Linked DNA regions of Lepisosteus oculatus. The protein of the gene in region 1 purifies or fractionates together with the protein of each later gene. This does not show direct contact. Links are inferred from orthologs where the notes say so. Each region holds a gene or a part of one and is shown in the gene's direction. Other genes may lie near its edges.

Evidence for each region.
Region 2: the proteins of kinesin light chain 2 (region 1) and kif5c purify together in Homo sapiens (affinity purification with western blotting; 3 studies listed by BioGRID and IntAct, with this or other methods). This does not show direct contact. The link is inferred for Lepisosteus oculatus from reciprocal best matches to the Homo sapiens genes KLC2 and KIF5C.

Annotation. Positions count from the first base shown.
Region 1 is NC_090713.1:22,597,281-22,604,966, forward strand, and holds the start of kinesin light chain 2, read left to right. Parts: upstream 1-4,595; 5' UTR 4,596-5,322; intron 5,323-7,233; 5' UTR 7,234-7,258; coding exon 7,259-7,504; intron 7,505-7,686. Other genes in the region: phosphofurin acidic cluster sorting protein 1, read left to right, coding at 101-336, 938-1,057, 1,553-1,671. UniProt on the Homo sapiens protein: Kinesin is a microtubule-associated force-producing protein that plays a role in organelle transport. The light chain functions in coupling of cargo to the heavy chain or in the modulation of its ATPase activity.
Region 2 is NC_090707.1:2,880,244-2,887,823, forward strand, and holds the start of kif5c (kinesin heavy chain), read left to right. Parts: upstream 1-4,546; 5' UTR 4,547-4,983; coding exon 4,984-5,109; intron 5,110-7,580. Other genes in the region: epc2 (enhancer of polycomb homolog 2), read left to right, coding at 1-21, 434-502. UniProt on the Homo sapiens protein: Microtubule-associated force-producing protein that may play a role in organelle transport. Has ATPase activity. Involved in synaptic transmission. Mediates dendritic trafficking of mRNAs.

The DNA of each region.
Region 1 (7,686 bases):
TGGCAGCTGCTCGAGTGCAGACTGGCGCTGATGGTCTCGCGTTTGCCGCCATGCGAAGTGCTCTCGCCTTCAGCTCTGCCTGCCCTCTCTCCCGCCGCAGGAGTCCCAGCATGCCCCACGGCGTGGACGCCATCGGCCTGCAGGTGGACTACTGGGTGGCGCTGGGCGGGGAGAGGAAGAAGGAGGGCGAGCGCCGCGACACGGGTTCGAAGAACACCCTGAAGAGCACCTTCCGCTCCGTGCAGGTCAGCCGGCTGCCGGGGGCCGCCGGCGAGGGCCCGCCCGGCCTCAACACCATGTCCATGACCGTGGTCACCAAGGAGAAGAACAAGAAGGGTGAGTGCACACTGCCCCCTGCTGGTGCGGCGCCGCCGTGGCGCTGGGAGGGTTCCAGCGGGAGGGCCTGCCTGCCTGTGTTCCAGTTCACCGGAGCCAGTTCTCTGTTTGTGTAGGTTTTCCCTTGGGATTGCCAAGCACGTACCACCCCTCACTGTTTTTTACCACGGTGTCCTGTGATTTTTACCGTGTTGCTCTGCTCTTTGACTGGGTTCTACTGCGCTGGACTGTGCTTTCACCCCGATCTCACTGGGCTCTACTGTGCTGTACTCTGCTTTTACCCTGATCTCATTGGGCTCTACTGCGCTGTACTGTGCTTTTACCCCGATCTCACTGGGCTCTACTGCGCTGTACTGTCCTTTTACCCTGATCTCACTGGGCTCTACTGCGCTGTACTGTCCTTTTACCCTGATCTCACTGGGCTTTACTGCACCGGACTGTGCTTTTACCCTGATCTCACTGGGCTCTACTGCGCTGGACTGTGCTTTTACCCTGATCTCACTGGGCTCTACTGCGCTGGACTGTGCTTTTACCCTGATCTCACTGGGCTCTACTGCGCTGGACTGAGCTTTCACCATGCTGCTCTCTCCTGTCTCCGCAGTGCCCACCATCTTCCTGGGGAAGAAGCCGAAGGAGAAGGAGGTGGACTCCAAGAGCCAGGTGATCGAGGGCATCAGCCGGCTCATCTGCTCCGCCAAGCAGCAGCAGACCATCCTGCGAGGTGAGGGCGCACGCACACAACCGCACACTGCTACACACACGCACACAACCGCACACTGCTACACACACGCACACACACAACCGCACACTGCTACACACACGCACACACACAACCGCACACTGCTACACACGCACACACACAACCGCACACTGCTACACACACACACAGGCGCACACTGCTGCACACTGCTACGCACAAACAACCGCACACTGCTACTCACACACAACCGCACACTGCTATACACAGGCACATGTAGACAGACACGGCTGCACTCAGACTGCAATGCACACACACGGACGCAGATTGGCATGCTTGGACACGGGCACACGCACATGTAGACAAACAAGGGCACTCTCGGACACGCATGGACACGCGCGGTTCACCCGCGCTCCCACAGAGGGCTGCTCGAGTCCCTGTGGTCCAGCAGGCTCCTGGAGGCAGGTGTCTAAACCCGCCAGTGGCTGACCGGCCGTCCCTGCTGTGCTCTCTCTGCAGTGTCCATCGACGGGGTGGAGTGGAACGACGTCAAGTTTTTCCAGCTGGCGGCCCAGTGGCCCACCCACGTCAAGTATTTCCCAGTCGGACTCTTCAGCTACAGCAAGCCAGCGTCCTAGGACCCGCCCCCCCCAAGCCCACCCCTCCTGCGCAGCCATTGGCCAGCTCCCGGAACAGGCCCTCTGCCACTCAGAGCTCCTGGAACCCTCCCTAGCCAATCAGAGCCGGGGGTGTGGGCTTCTCCTCCAATCGCGTCACTCGTAGACTTCTGCTCGGATTTTCGTTCTTCTTTCGCTATAGCAACGGCTGTGGAGCACATGTGGATTGGATCGATGACGTCGCTGTTCGCTCACGCCCGTCTCCAGGGCAACGCAGGGAGGTGCTGGAAGAGTGTACAGAGGAGGGATGGGGTTACAGATGGAGTACACACACACACACAAAAATGGACACTTGCTGACCATGTCCTGTACAGAAGTAACTTTGGGCAGATGTGCTTTTATGTGTGTCATGTTATGCACCAGTTTCCTTGCGGTGTGTTTTCATTAGAGCATTAAGCGTATAAAAACCAGGCCGTGTCCTCTTCCTGAGAGAGCGATTGTGTCCGTACAAGATGGGTGATTGGTCATTCCTGGCGCTGGTGGAGATCAGAATGGCTTTTGGGAAGATGGGGGATTCCAGAGGCAGGGAATTGCTCTTTAAGCCAGGGGTGACCAGTACTAGTCCTGGAAGGGGTGCTGTCTGCAGCGGGGGTGTCCGGTCCTGGGCCAGGAGGGGTCAGTGTGTCTGCAGCGGGTGTGTCCGGTCCTGGGCCAGGAGGGGTCAGTGTGGCTGGTGGTCTCGTTAAAAGCAGCAGCACCTGTTCGATGGGTCCAGTTCTGCCCATGAGGCGAAGACAGAGCTTGTTAAGAGCCGGGCAGCAGGGGGAGCCCCCAGAGATGCCCGCAAGCCCCTTGGGCACAGTAGGGGACCACTCTGGGCCTTGCCCAGGTGCGAGAGGCGTGCCGTGCGACGGGGCGCAGTTTCTGTCCTGGGGGCCCACACCGAACCTTGCTGACTCCAGCCTGGGGCCCCCCTGTTTCCCGGGATCCCCCGCTCGGCTCCTCTCCTCGCAGGACTGGACTCCGGTAGGGGGGTGTGGGGGAGTCGGGGCGAGCCAGGAGCGAGTCCAGTTCAGTTCGCCCAAAGGAAAGGAACTCCGGTCTTAAACCCTCCCCCCCCCCCCCCCCATCAGAGCGAGATGGACTAGACCTTCCCATCCGTGCTGAAGGGGAAATGGACTGTTCCATTCTTTTATTTCTGGTGGTGGGGGGAGAGTGTGGCCTCACTGCCTTCATGCCTCTAGGGCGCTCCTAGAAAACACAGCCATCAGCCTCTTGTTGTTTTTATACCAGATGTGCACTTTACTATTAAAACTCCTATTTGGACGTGGGTCTGGCCGTGTGGGTGTGGACAGAAGTCCTGTAGCGTCAGTAGTAGTAGATTATATGATCACAATCCCAACCCCCCACCTCGTGTCCCAGACTCGTCCTCGTTCCTGCTGGATGGGTTTGCCCCGTTGGAACCCGTCTCCCTGGGAAAAGAGCCGGCCAAGTGAGCCCAGCCCGGTTCTGGAGGGGAGGGGGGCTCGGAGGGGTGTCCCTGGAGCAGAGGAAGGGGGGGCTGGGACGAGCGGGGCTCCGGACTCACCCATGCGTCTCCCATTGGTGTTTTAGTGGGATTTCCCCCACAGTCAGGTGTCGTGATTTGCTCTCCTCTCCCAGCGGCCTGTGCCCAGTGGTTGATTTTGTTCTAAAGACGTCGCAGGCGTCTCCCTGGACGAGCACCAGTGTGTTTGGGCCTTTTGTGGTTGTGTTTTGAACTGCGAGTTGCGGTGTTTGTTCCCCCCGGGGCAGGGCAGGCTCCGGCTCCGGCTCCGGTGAGCTCCGGGCCGGGAGTTCCAGGCGGCCAGCCGCTCTGCGTGCCGCTGGGCAGGCTGATTAATCGAGCGCAGCACTGCGGCGGGCTGGCCGGGCTGCCTTCTGCCCCCGCGGCCCAGCGTCTCTCGAACCCGCCGCGCGCCGCGCAGCCCTGGCAACAAGCCCTGCAGCTGCTGCTGCTCCGCGCGGGCGTGCCTCCCGTCGCCCCAGACGGCCGAGGACAACAGTCTGTTGGACTGGGGTCGGCGCTATGCCGGTTTCTGTTGCCATGAAAGACCCTCCCCTCCCCCTGCAGGGGGCGCTGGAAGCCACAGCCTGGTTCAGGCTGACCAGCAGCAGCAGCAGTGGCCAGCCGCCTGTGGGGCTGGGCCGATCTGGCACCGCGGGGCAGCGTGGCCGGGGTTCGAGACCGCTGGACCGTCAGCAGCGAAAGTCCGGCTCGGACCGGCGCCGCCTGCCTGCGGGGGGGTCCAGAGAAGCGAGGGGGGGTGCTGCGTTCTCCATTTCCAGCTTTTCCGTCCCCTGTCCGCTGGAGCCAGAGAGCCAGAGGGACGGAGCCGCAGGGCTGTCGATTCGGTGTGTCATTAAAAATCATCAGAATCAAAACGTTGGATTTTTAACCCGTCTCTTGTCACGACGCTGCGTCACGGACACCGCGGCACGCGGACGTGTAGCCCGCCGCCCAGCGCCCAGCACGCACGCTCACGCGGAGCTGCGTCCCGGGTCAGAGCACGGGCCTGACACCGCGCCGGGGCCCCGGGTTCAGCCGTCTGTGTGGAGTCTGCATGTTCTCCAGCGGTTTGTCCATCCACAGACACGCTGGTGGGGACACAGGGCCTGGTGTGTGTGTGTCCTGTGACCCGGGTGTGCCCTGCCTTGTGCCCTTGGGGTGCTGGGATAGAGGAGGAGGAGGGAGAGAGAGGAGAGGGGAGGAGGGAGAGAGAGGAGAGAGGAGGAGGAGGGAGAGAGAGGATTGAGGAGGAGGAATGAGAGAGAGGTGGAGGAGGGAGAGAGAGGATTGAGGAGGAGGAATGAGAGAGAGGAATGAGAGAGAGGAGGAGGAGGGAGAGAGGGGATTGAGGAGGAGGAATGAGAGAAAGGAGGAGGAGGGAGAGAGGGGAGCGGCCCCGGCTGGCGGCAGTGTTTTGGGCGGTGACGTCAGCGCGCCTGCGCCAGGGCTTCTGGGAAGCCAATATAGGCACAACAGCCATTTTCGGCTCGCGAGCGGCTGTCAGTGCGGAGAGCGAGCCAGTCGCGCGCAGCGGAGCAGTCGGGATGCCGGTTCCTCGCGACAGCTTGGTCGTGTGAAAAGAAGAAACAACAACAACAACAACAACAGCGGCGACCACGCACGGACACGGACACGGGCGTCTTTCTTTTCCCAAGAAAAGACCCTGACGTGCACACGAGTGGCGGGGGGACACGGCTCCGATAACCTTTCTCCCGACCCCCCCTCTCCCTCCTCCTCCTCCTCCCCACGCTGCGTGGATCCGTCCCGTTAGGAATGAGCCCGCCGTGCCGGATGCGGCAGTAGAACGAGCGAGAGCGCAGAGGTGCGGACACGCAGGGCAGAGACCCGGCGCGGGGGGCATATCTCGGACTGGGGGGCTTCCTCGCGTGCGTGCCTGTGGGGGACGGAGCGGGGGGGGGCGGCGCTGCTTGGACAGCCGACCCGGACAGGACCGGCGGGGCCGAACCTCGGAGACTGGACCTGCACCGCCAGCCCGCTTTCCGGGCCCCTCGGATGCGGCAGGTGTCGGGGGACCGAGCCGGCGAGCTGAGCTGAGCTGAACCGAGCCGAGCCGAGCCTTCAGGGGACGGGACGACACCGGCGCCTCAGGGGGCGAGAATCAGGTGAGTCATTGACCCGTGAGCCGCTCTTCCTCTCCCCGCACCCCCTCCTCCTCCTCCTCTCGCCCTCTCCACGGCTGTCCCCCCCCCCGAGGGGCCGAGGGCCCGGGTTCAGCGCGCTCCACCGCTTCATTCAGACACGGGACTGGGGAGGGGGGGTTCGGCTCTAGTGACCCGTTTCCAGACCCGATTCCCTGACCAGGCTGGACCCGGGTGGACCCGGGTTCTGGTGCTGACGGTGTCCCGCGTCACGTCACTCAGTGTCCTCTGTCCGGGCCAGTACCGGGGGGGTGGGATCGCGAGCTGTGAGACGTGTGAGGGGTTCTGGTTCTGGTTTGTTTTACTTTGCACATCCGCGAGTGGGACGTAAAGAGCGGATTAGAGCGAGCCTGTGTTGAGTTAATGGTCCCGGTCCGGCCCGGTTCGGCTCGGCGCTCCGGAGGTCTGGTGGGGGGTGGGGGGCGCGAGTCAGCTGGACCATGCCCATCCACGTCTGCACGTGCTGGCGTGTTTTGGGCACGCAGGGCGGCGGGTCGGGCACCCCTCGGTGACGGATGCGCGCGGCTGTGTGTGTTCCGAGCGGCGGCTCCGCCTGCGGGTCTCATGAAGTCCCGCGGCCCGGCGGCCCGGCTGTCCGGCTGTCCGGCGGCGGCCCGGCGCTCCCGTGACGCGGCGCTGTCCCCCGCGCCGGTTGGCGCATTGCGGTACCTCCGGCGCCGCGTGTGCGTGCTGGCGGCGGCGGGGGGGGGGCAGGCCCGGCAGGTGCGTCTGGTTGGCAAGTCGCTGGGAGTGTTAGACGAGCCCCCCCGCTTGGGCCTGTCCGCTCGCTAGCTCGTGTCCCCTTCTTGGTGGTGGTGGTGGTGGTGGGGGGCGTTGTGCTGGTTTTGGCAGCGCGGCTGGCTCCAGACCCCTGCCACTCTTTGTGTAGATGAGTGTTGTTCAGGGGTCGCTTTCCTGGACCCTCCACTCAGAGCTCTGTACAGGTTATGGGGATCCCCTCCACCCCCACCAGTGTGTACCCCCACCTGGATGATGCTCCAGTCCCCTCCCCACACCCCAGCTGTCAGTGTGTGATGGAGCCAGTTCAGAGAGGGGGGTTATTAGGAGGCCATGAGGGGTAAAGGCCAGGGGGGAATATGGCCAGGACACTGGGGTGACACCCCAACTCTTTTTGAGAAAGACCCTGGGGTTTTTAATGACCGCAGAGAGTCAGGACCTCAGTTTTACAGTATCGTGTCCCTGTCACTATAGTAGGGCATTAGGACTCGCACAGACTGCGGTTTGCGTCCCCACAGTGCAGTGCTGCAGTGCTGTATGACAGTACAGTGCAGCAGTGTTGGATGACAGTGCAGTGCTGTATGACCGTGCAGTGCTGCAGTGCAGCAGTGCTGTATGACAGTACAGTGCAGCAGTGTTGGATGACAGTGCAGTGCTGTATGACCGTGCAGTGCTGCAGTGCAGCAGTGCTGTATGACAGTGCAGTGCAGCAGTGTTGGATGACAGTGCAGTGCTGTATGACAGTGCAGTGCTGCAGTGTAGCAGTGCTGTATGACAGTGCAGTGCAGCAGTGCTGTATGACAGTGCAGTGCAGCAGTGTTGGATGACGGTGCTGCAGTGCTGTATGACAGTGCAGTGCTGTATGACCGTGCAGTGCTGCAGTGCAGCAGTGCTGTATGACAGTGCAGTGCAGCAGTGCTGTATGACAGTGCAGTGCAGCAGTGCTGTATGACAGTGCAGTGCTGTATGACCGTGCAGTGCAGCAGTGTTGTATGATGGTGCAGTGCTGAAGTGCTGCAGTGTTGTATGACAGTGCAGAAGTACAGCAGTGCTGTATGACAGTGCAGTGCTACAGTGTAACAGTGTTGTATGACGGTGCTGCAGTGTTGGATGACGGTACTGCCCCCTCTGCCCCAGGGCTCGGCGGCCTGTGTCGTGAGGGATGTCCGCCATGGTGCTGCCCCGGGACGAGCCTCTGGAGCGCCTCTCGCAGGACGAGATCGTGCTGAGCACCAAGGCGGTGATGCAGGGGCTGGAGACGCTGCGCAGCGAGCACGCCGCCCTGCTGGCCGCGCTGCTGGACGGGGTGGCGCTGCCGGACGGCTCCCAGCTCCCCGCGGCGCAGGAGAAGTCGGGGCTGCTGCGCAAGAGCCTGGACGCCATCGAGCTGGGGCTGGGGGAGGCGCAGGTACGGGGAGCGGGGGGAGGGGTCCCTCTGGGTGCGTGATGGGGTCGGGGGTCTCTGAGGTCAGTATCGGGGTAGCAGGACGGGGTCGGGGGTCTCTGAGGTCAGTATCGGGGTACCAGGAAGGGGTCAGAGGTCTCTGAGGTCAGTATCGGGGTAGCAGGATGGGGTCGGGGGTCCCTGCG
Region 2 (7,580 bases), on another chromosome or scaffold:
ATCAGCAGCATAGCAAGGCAAGTCAATGAGATTTTTTAATATATATCTTAGGCGTTAAGTTTTATAACTCCTTGCAGCGCTTTTCTGGACACTCCACTCAAAGCGCTTGACAGGCAATGGGGGCTCCCCTCCACCACCACCAGTGTGCAGCCCCCAGCCAAAGTGCACCAGTCCGCTCCCCACACACCAGCTCTCAGTGGGGAGGAGAGCAGAGTAATGAAGCCAGTTCAGAGATGGGGATTAAAGAAAAACAGATCATGCTGTTTATGAAAGGCAAAGGCCGTAACTGCTTTGTAAGGAACTTATTTTGCCTCGGATAGTGGAGATGTAATAGTCCAAATTCCTCTTCGTGAAACAGTTAATGTAAAGTCATTGTATCGACTTGTTGGATGTTGGATGTCTGAGGTTTTTTTCTCCCTTCTGTTTCAGGGAGAGTCATGAGCCTGAAAGACTTGCTTTGAATGGAATATCGGAGACCACAGTGGCGATGGAGGTCACATAGCCCACATCACGGACCGTGCTCCCATGTCCAGCAGTTGACACATTTCCCAGAATGAATGCAAAACCTGTGCGCCCTCTACAGTTCGCAGGGGGGCTTTACATGGACCTATATGAAATAGCAGCATATCAACATATTAAGTTAATTTGTCAATATATAAATGTACATTTTGTAAAATTGGGAAGATCACTACCTTGTAAAATAGTATATTTGTATCATTAGTATGTTATTTCTGTTACTTGAATTCTAGATATTTGTCATCATGCTTTTGCACTCGAAAATGCAACTGAATGGAAAGGAAAAAATGTGCAACAGTTTGTTTTGGGATCATGAGCATGAGAAAGGATCCTATGTCACTTGTTTTAACTATTTATTTTGCAATGTTTACATTTTGTATCTTGTACAAATCAGATTTTGTGTCTACAAAAATATTGAGATTCGCATAGTTAGCATATAAAGTTCTTGTACTTTTTTTCTAAAAAAATGTATTTCACTTGATTCATTTGGTTTCACAAATTGAATATAGATGGTCTTTTGGTAACAAGTTTAGTGACATTTTTCATTAAGACAGGTATTTTCTATTACTTTGAAGGGGCAATGGGGAACGGATTGCTTTTTAATTTTTTATTTTAAATTTTTATTTGTCCTTTTTTTGAATGTTGTAAAAGTTACAGTAACACAGTTTTTGGTGTAAAAACAAGCTGTTGTATCCATAGGACCTATTTAAATTTTTAATGACAGATTTATGCATTCTACATTCTCATTCTTGCAAATGTATAAAAACAAACTCATTAATATATTTGCATTTTAAAACTTGCCGAGGTCAAGCCAATAAATCTTCCACAGGTAAGGGCAATACTAGTATGTGGGGTATTTGGAGACTATCTGAAACCTGTCGAACCAATCTTGGGGGGGAGGGGGGTACTTGTCACAACTGCTCATCCTTTCAGATTTTTTGTATTCTTTCCTGTGGCGACAAGGCAAGTAACAGGTGAGGAAGAACATGTCTGATGATCAGCGCTAGGCCTCCCTTAACGTAGTGTAGTGGTGTAGTGAGTTCCTGTAAAAAGATTTATAGAAATGTTTAGGCAACTATTAGTTTATGCACTACTTCAGACACATTTTCCCTGTTACTTGTACTTGGATATATTACGAAATGCAGGGAAATAAAAAAAGTATACATATCAGAATCGATTCCATGTCTTCATTCCTCACCGAAGAATAACTCGCCCTGGATTCTTTTGTTTCTTTAAAGAAACGCATCTAACATTTCCTTGAGCGCCTGTTGGTGGGGTAAGAAAATCAGTTTTGGTCCTGGGAAGCTGTGTTTTTGATTGTTGTTCGTTTCAGGGGTGAAAATTCGGATTATAGGGATGAGAGAATTGCTGCTAGGATACAGTGCTTATTACCTTGGTTCCAATTTCATACCGATGTTACTGAAAATAAATCCAGTCAGCTATGTTATTACCAGCGGTCTCCTATTATCCCGTATAGCCGTTCTTGTGCAGTTTCAGGAAGATTAAAGTTTCCAAAAGTGTCCGTTTGTGTTATCCTGCACGTCAAGGCATTACGCTTACAGATTTTTATTTCTGTAAGGGGGGGGGGGGGTATTTGTACACTTAGGAGAAGTCAAGAAAGAGCAGGTGGCATCTCCCCGAGATCAAATGACAAATAATAGAACTTGGCAGTTGTATCCATTATATAGCAGGGAAATTGGGACCACAGAGTTAAGCTTACAGCTAAAGACTCCACATGTTAGAACGATGGACAGTTCTGCCATCAGTTTACAACGGCTTACTGGCTTTGCTGCCACCTACTGTTGTCACTATAGCTTTAAATCCCGTTCTCTCATTCTGGGTCTACTCTGGTGCTCAACTACTGCTAAGCTCTTTAAGCTTTTCTCCATGCACTCCAGTCAAAACCCGGTGCAGGGTGAAAGCAGCAGTTCTCAAAATGCAGTTGCAACGGGGCTGCTGTCTGTACATTGGTGGTTGTTCCTCAGAAGAGAGACGGTTCCTAACCGTAGTACCAGCTTGTTTTGCTATTTGGCAATTTTTAAGATCACCTTTTTTTTTTGCATGGTATTAAACGGTATGGTTTCCACTAGCAGAGAAGCCGAGGTATGATTTTCTGTATTCAATTCCGAATGAGCACCTTGTCATGCAATTTAACCAGTAGGTGGCACTCCTATGAGGAAGCATTAAGCATTCCTGATTAGTACTGAAATAAATCTGGATTTGAACAGTATAATTTCTAAACGGCAAGTACATTTTTTTTATCTTAAGGTAAAATTCAAGTCGTGCTTTTCATATCACGTTTGGTTCATTCAAGCTCAGCAGCAAGGGGGTGTCAGTGTGGCAGAGCATGTTTCTAAACCTGCAATCGGAGAGACATACATGCACAGTTCTCCACGCTGCACATTTTTTTTACAATACAATTTGCTTCAGAACCTCCAGCTGTTTCCAAAGAGGCCTCTTGTTTCAGAGACGTGTCCTGCAACCTGCTGAAAGATACAATCTAGCTGTATCTGCTAGCGTTTGAGACCGCGCCGGCAGCGAAACAGCCTGGTTCCTGGAAATTGATCCCTTCACGTGGAGTGGCGAGCTTTTTTCTTGTTTAACTCCTTAAAAACTGTTGCTTTACCAACTGGTATGTAGAAGTGCAATAATAATTTTGTTCATTTGTATAACTTTCTGAATCGATATAAAATATATGAGCACATTCCTAAGAGCTCCACATACAGGAGGACCCCACTGCATTCCCCACCTTGGGAACCATGCGGCAGCCATTCTGTGCAGCAAAATGCTTCCTAACTGAAGGGGTCTTTTAAAGACCGAGTAGCCAGGACCTCAGCTGAACCGCACGGATGCTTCTACAGCAGAGTGGTGCCCTCTGCTGTGATCGTGTGTCGTTGGTTTGGAAATTCAGAACCACTGGCTGGTCCACCAACACCCTGGTCTGCCATCCCAGGCCTGATCCAGCCAAGCCCGACTTGGCCTCTGCAGCCAGTGAGGTAGACCTCAAACCTTCAGAAAACACACAGCAGCAAGAATTCATTAATTGGACATTACTTTCCTTAAAATGTAAATCTCTCCGCTTGGTCCCCAAATCCCAGAAAGATCATGGAATTTGTCTTAATTACATAAAAGCCACATCAAGCGAACAGGCCAGTTTCCGCATGTTAAATGATGTGTTTCTTGTGTTTCTAGTTCCCAGAAGGTTTCTGCCTCTTCTGTGCTGATACAGAACTCTGTCCCTCCACTGCCAGAGGCCCCTAATGAGCAGCTGAGTGAAAAACTTGTTCAGTACATCAGCCATTTCCCTCTCCTTGTCTAGACATTTACCAGTTTTGTCCCTAATGGATTTGACCTCATGTGGTTGTTTTGCTTTTGTAGTACTGGAAGAATTTATTCTCATCTATGTTAGCCTCCATTACAATATTCCTTTCAATTTCTCTCTTGGCCTTTCTGATATCCTTGGCTTACAATATCCTGTAGCATACTAATTTCATTAACTTGCACCCTGTTGTTTTTTTTAATCCCTCTGTTTTCACAATTGAGTTGCTGAACCTTTTCAGATGCTGTATTTTTAGCTTTTGCTTTTCTCACTCTCCGGATACATGTCCCCTGTACTCCGGGAGGAATCCGTTTAGACTGTTGTCATTCATTTTCCACTGAGCTTAACACCTGGGCCGCTGTGGAGGACCTGGCGGCTCCTTCAGAAGGCTGCCGTCTGAGTCCAGGCGAGTACGCCCTGTCCGCTCACGACTGCACAGCGGGACACAGCGGCAACCGCGTCATTACATTGGCGGATGACACCTTGTGTTTTACACCTTTTGTTTTTTTGACAATGGCGAGACTTTCCGTAAGAATCCCATTGTACCAGAACCGGTTACCCACGGCAGTAAAGTTCACGTTCAAGTTCAAGGAAGGTCGCACTGGATTCTGCAGAAGAACTACGTTGCCCAGAATACTTAGGTGAACCGACGGAGTTTATGATGTAAGGCTACGCCACGCCAGCCGGTGTGTGTATGTGTGTGTGTGAGAGTGAGAGTGAGGAGGAGCAGGGGAGGAGGCAGATCCAGAGGAGGGAAGGTGCCCGGTGCTGTTGCTGCGGGGTGACGGAGCGCGAAGGAGGATGCGATTTCTGAACTCCTGAGCTCTGAGCTGCCACCGGCTTCTCCAACACAGGGGGACACTGCATCCCCGCCTCCCGCGGCTTCAGCCTGCCTGCAGGGACTTGAGTGCTGTCCGCAGGAATACATGTCTGTATAGATGCATTGTCACACCTTTCAATGCAAGGAGATTGCAGAGCCGAGCGGCTGGTGGGCATGAAGGGGAACAGCTGATCTGCAGCAGACGACCATGGTGTTCTGAGGCTGACGCGACTCTCCTGGGCCTCCCCGGCGCAGTCTGTCCGTGCTTTTGCTGAAGAGGTTGTGAAGGAAACTTTGCATTATTGCGCTCTTGCTGGGGTAGACTGAGATGGCGGACCCAGCCGAATGCAGCATCAAAGTGATGTGCCGATTCCGGCCGTTAAATGCAGCCGAGATCGTAAGGGGCGACAAGTACATCCCCAAATTTAAGGACGATGACACGGTCGTTATAGGGGTAAGACCTTTATCTCTGTTTCTCACGTTAATTACCGAACGATGGTTGAGGGCATTGTTAATAAACGGGGTTATAGCTGGAAACAAGGATCACGCTTGCTTTAATGATAATCGGGACGCTTGCGGTCCTATTTATTTTGCGTAATCCGTAAAAAATCACCGTTATTTGTTTCGCACATCGGTTTGATCAGTTAGGTATGTGATTTTGTGGGCATTTAAATCTCCTTTGCTTTTTGACAGTTTCTTGGGCAGAAAGGGCAATGAAATACTTCCCGCTGATCATCTTCACAGCATGAAAATGATGTTTGGTAACGCGTCTCTACCTGGGTGTTTGCGGTGAAGAGCACGTTATTGGTTTTATCGTTATTTTGTTATTTTCTCCAATAAAGGGGAAGCTCAAACACGTGCTTGGTTGATTTGGTAAACGGTTAGTCAAACATTGAAGTACAGTTTGTCCGTGGGGGTCTAAAGTGTGAATCGACGCTGTTCGCAGCGGTAATGGATGTGGGAGAATAATTAATGGTCTGTGAAGTTTGCTTGTAACGCCGAGAGCTGCATCTATTCACAAACGGGAGCACGGAAAAGAAAACACTGTGTCGGAAATGTCCACTTTGTTGCGGATGTCTGTCCGATTGGTCCCGCAGCTTGCAGGAATTGCCTAGTGATGGAGGTGTTCGCTCGAAAGGACCCCCAGGCGGCGGTATGCCGAGAGCGGTGTTGCGGGGTTGCCTCACGGCCCGGCCGGCCTGCTCGGTTGCGGGTCCGGGCTGTCCGCTCGCTGCGGCAGCTCTCGCGCCGCGGTCCGGAGTGACGTCATGGGCGGGGGGGCGCTGGACTCTCGCCCATCTGGGTGCCCGCCGGCTTTGTGCTACCTGATGAGACTGCTTTCCATTTTCACTTTTTTTCAAAAAAAATTTGGGGTTGGTGGTGGTGGGGCTGTTAGATTACATAAAATGACGGCTCCTGGACCACCGGCATCCTTTGCTGACAGAGACGGAATATGCGTCTTTCTAATTTAGGAATTATGACTAAAGCGCGCTTGACACAGTGAACCTGCTGGCAAACAAAATTTAATAAACACAAAGCTGTACATTAAATGGTTGATCGCTTACTACAGGCGATGCTGACAAGATGATGGATTTTCGAAAGACTTCTGGAGCGATGATGGATGTGCGCAGATATTTCTGTTCCAGCAATACCAAGAGACTGTACCTTACACAATATGGCCGCACCCTGCCCTGAAGGTAGAAAACACTGCTGTCTGCTGTACAAGACACCCCCCCCCACATTCCCAGGATTGCCCTTGACAATTATAGTACTAATTAGAGCTAGAAACATTCACGCTGTAGTGACGCCATGCTTATTACCTCCTTCACAGAGGGAAAAACACAAGCAGCAAGTTGTTCTACTTCAGCCAGGAAGCGCTGAAGCGGTAATGGACTTTGGTTTGTGTTGTTATTGGGATCTGTGCGCAGGTACAGCAGTGAGAACAAACACCATCGCTTCTGAATCCATTCCGTTTGAGGTTTCATCTTTAATTAACACCTTTGTGTTTTTTTTCATGCTGACACTGAACCGAAGCCATAACTTAAAGGCACAACTGCCGTAAATTAACATTGCAGAGACACTTAGTCCATTCTAGGATTCAACTTGTCAGTGAATGGGCTGAGATCTAAAGAATGCTGAATCAGTGAGGCAGTCTAACTGCAGCAGAGCTCACTGGTCTGTCACAGAGCACAGACAGTGAAAACACTTCTCTCCCCACTGTCAGGGTGAGGTAATTTCATTGCATTTTGAACTCTTATGTAATAAAAATGAAACGAGTGACTATGAGCACAGTACTCTACTGGGTGCAGAATTTTGCCTCGAGAACTTGGCAGTTTTGTTTCACGTTTAAAAAAATCTGTGTCAGTTTTAACACATGAGATACCCTTTGAGTAAAGAACTTGCAGAAATGCCTGAAAGCACACACACCAGCCTCCTGGACCAGGACTGGCTGACAACACTCTCACCGTCGGACAAAAGGAGACGTTCATCCAGTTTTTTGGGGAAGATAAAGGAAGGCCAAAGGATGCCACAGTGGGAAAGAACATTTTGGAACAGAAGAGGAGGAGTAAAGATAAGGAGAAGCCAGAGATAAGGAGGAAAGTGCGAAGATGCAGAGAGGAGCTGGGATATGTGATGTGTGTTAGCAAATGTATCTGCCTGTGCGGAGATGGACTTTTAATTGATGATTCTGGACGTCTGCCGTTGGCTTTGGCAATCGTAGCGAATGGAAAGTGTGCTGTTGAAAAAGGCTGTAAAGATGGTTGTCATGGTACCTGAATTCAGACGAACATCGCTGCACCACACATCACTTCTGACAGTCCTGTTGAATTATTTATTTTAATTTAGAATTTAATAACCGGAGAACAAAAGCAATGACCATTTCTAATGTCCATTGTGTTCTGTTAATGTTTAATATTTTGAATT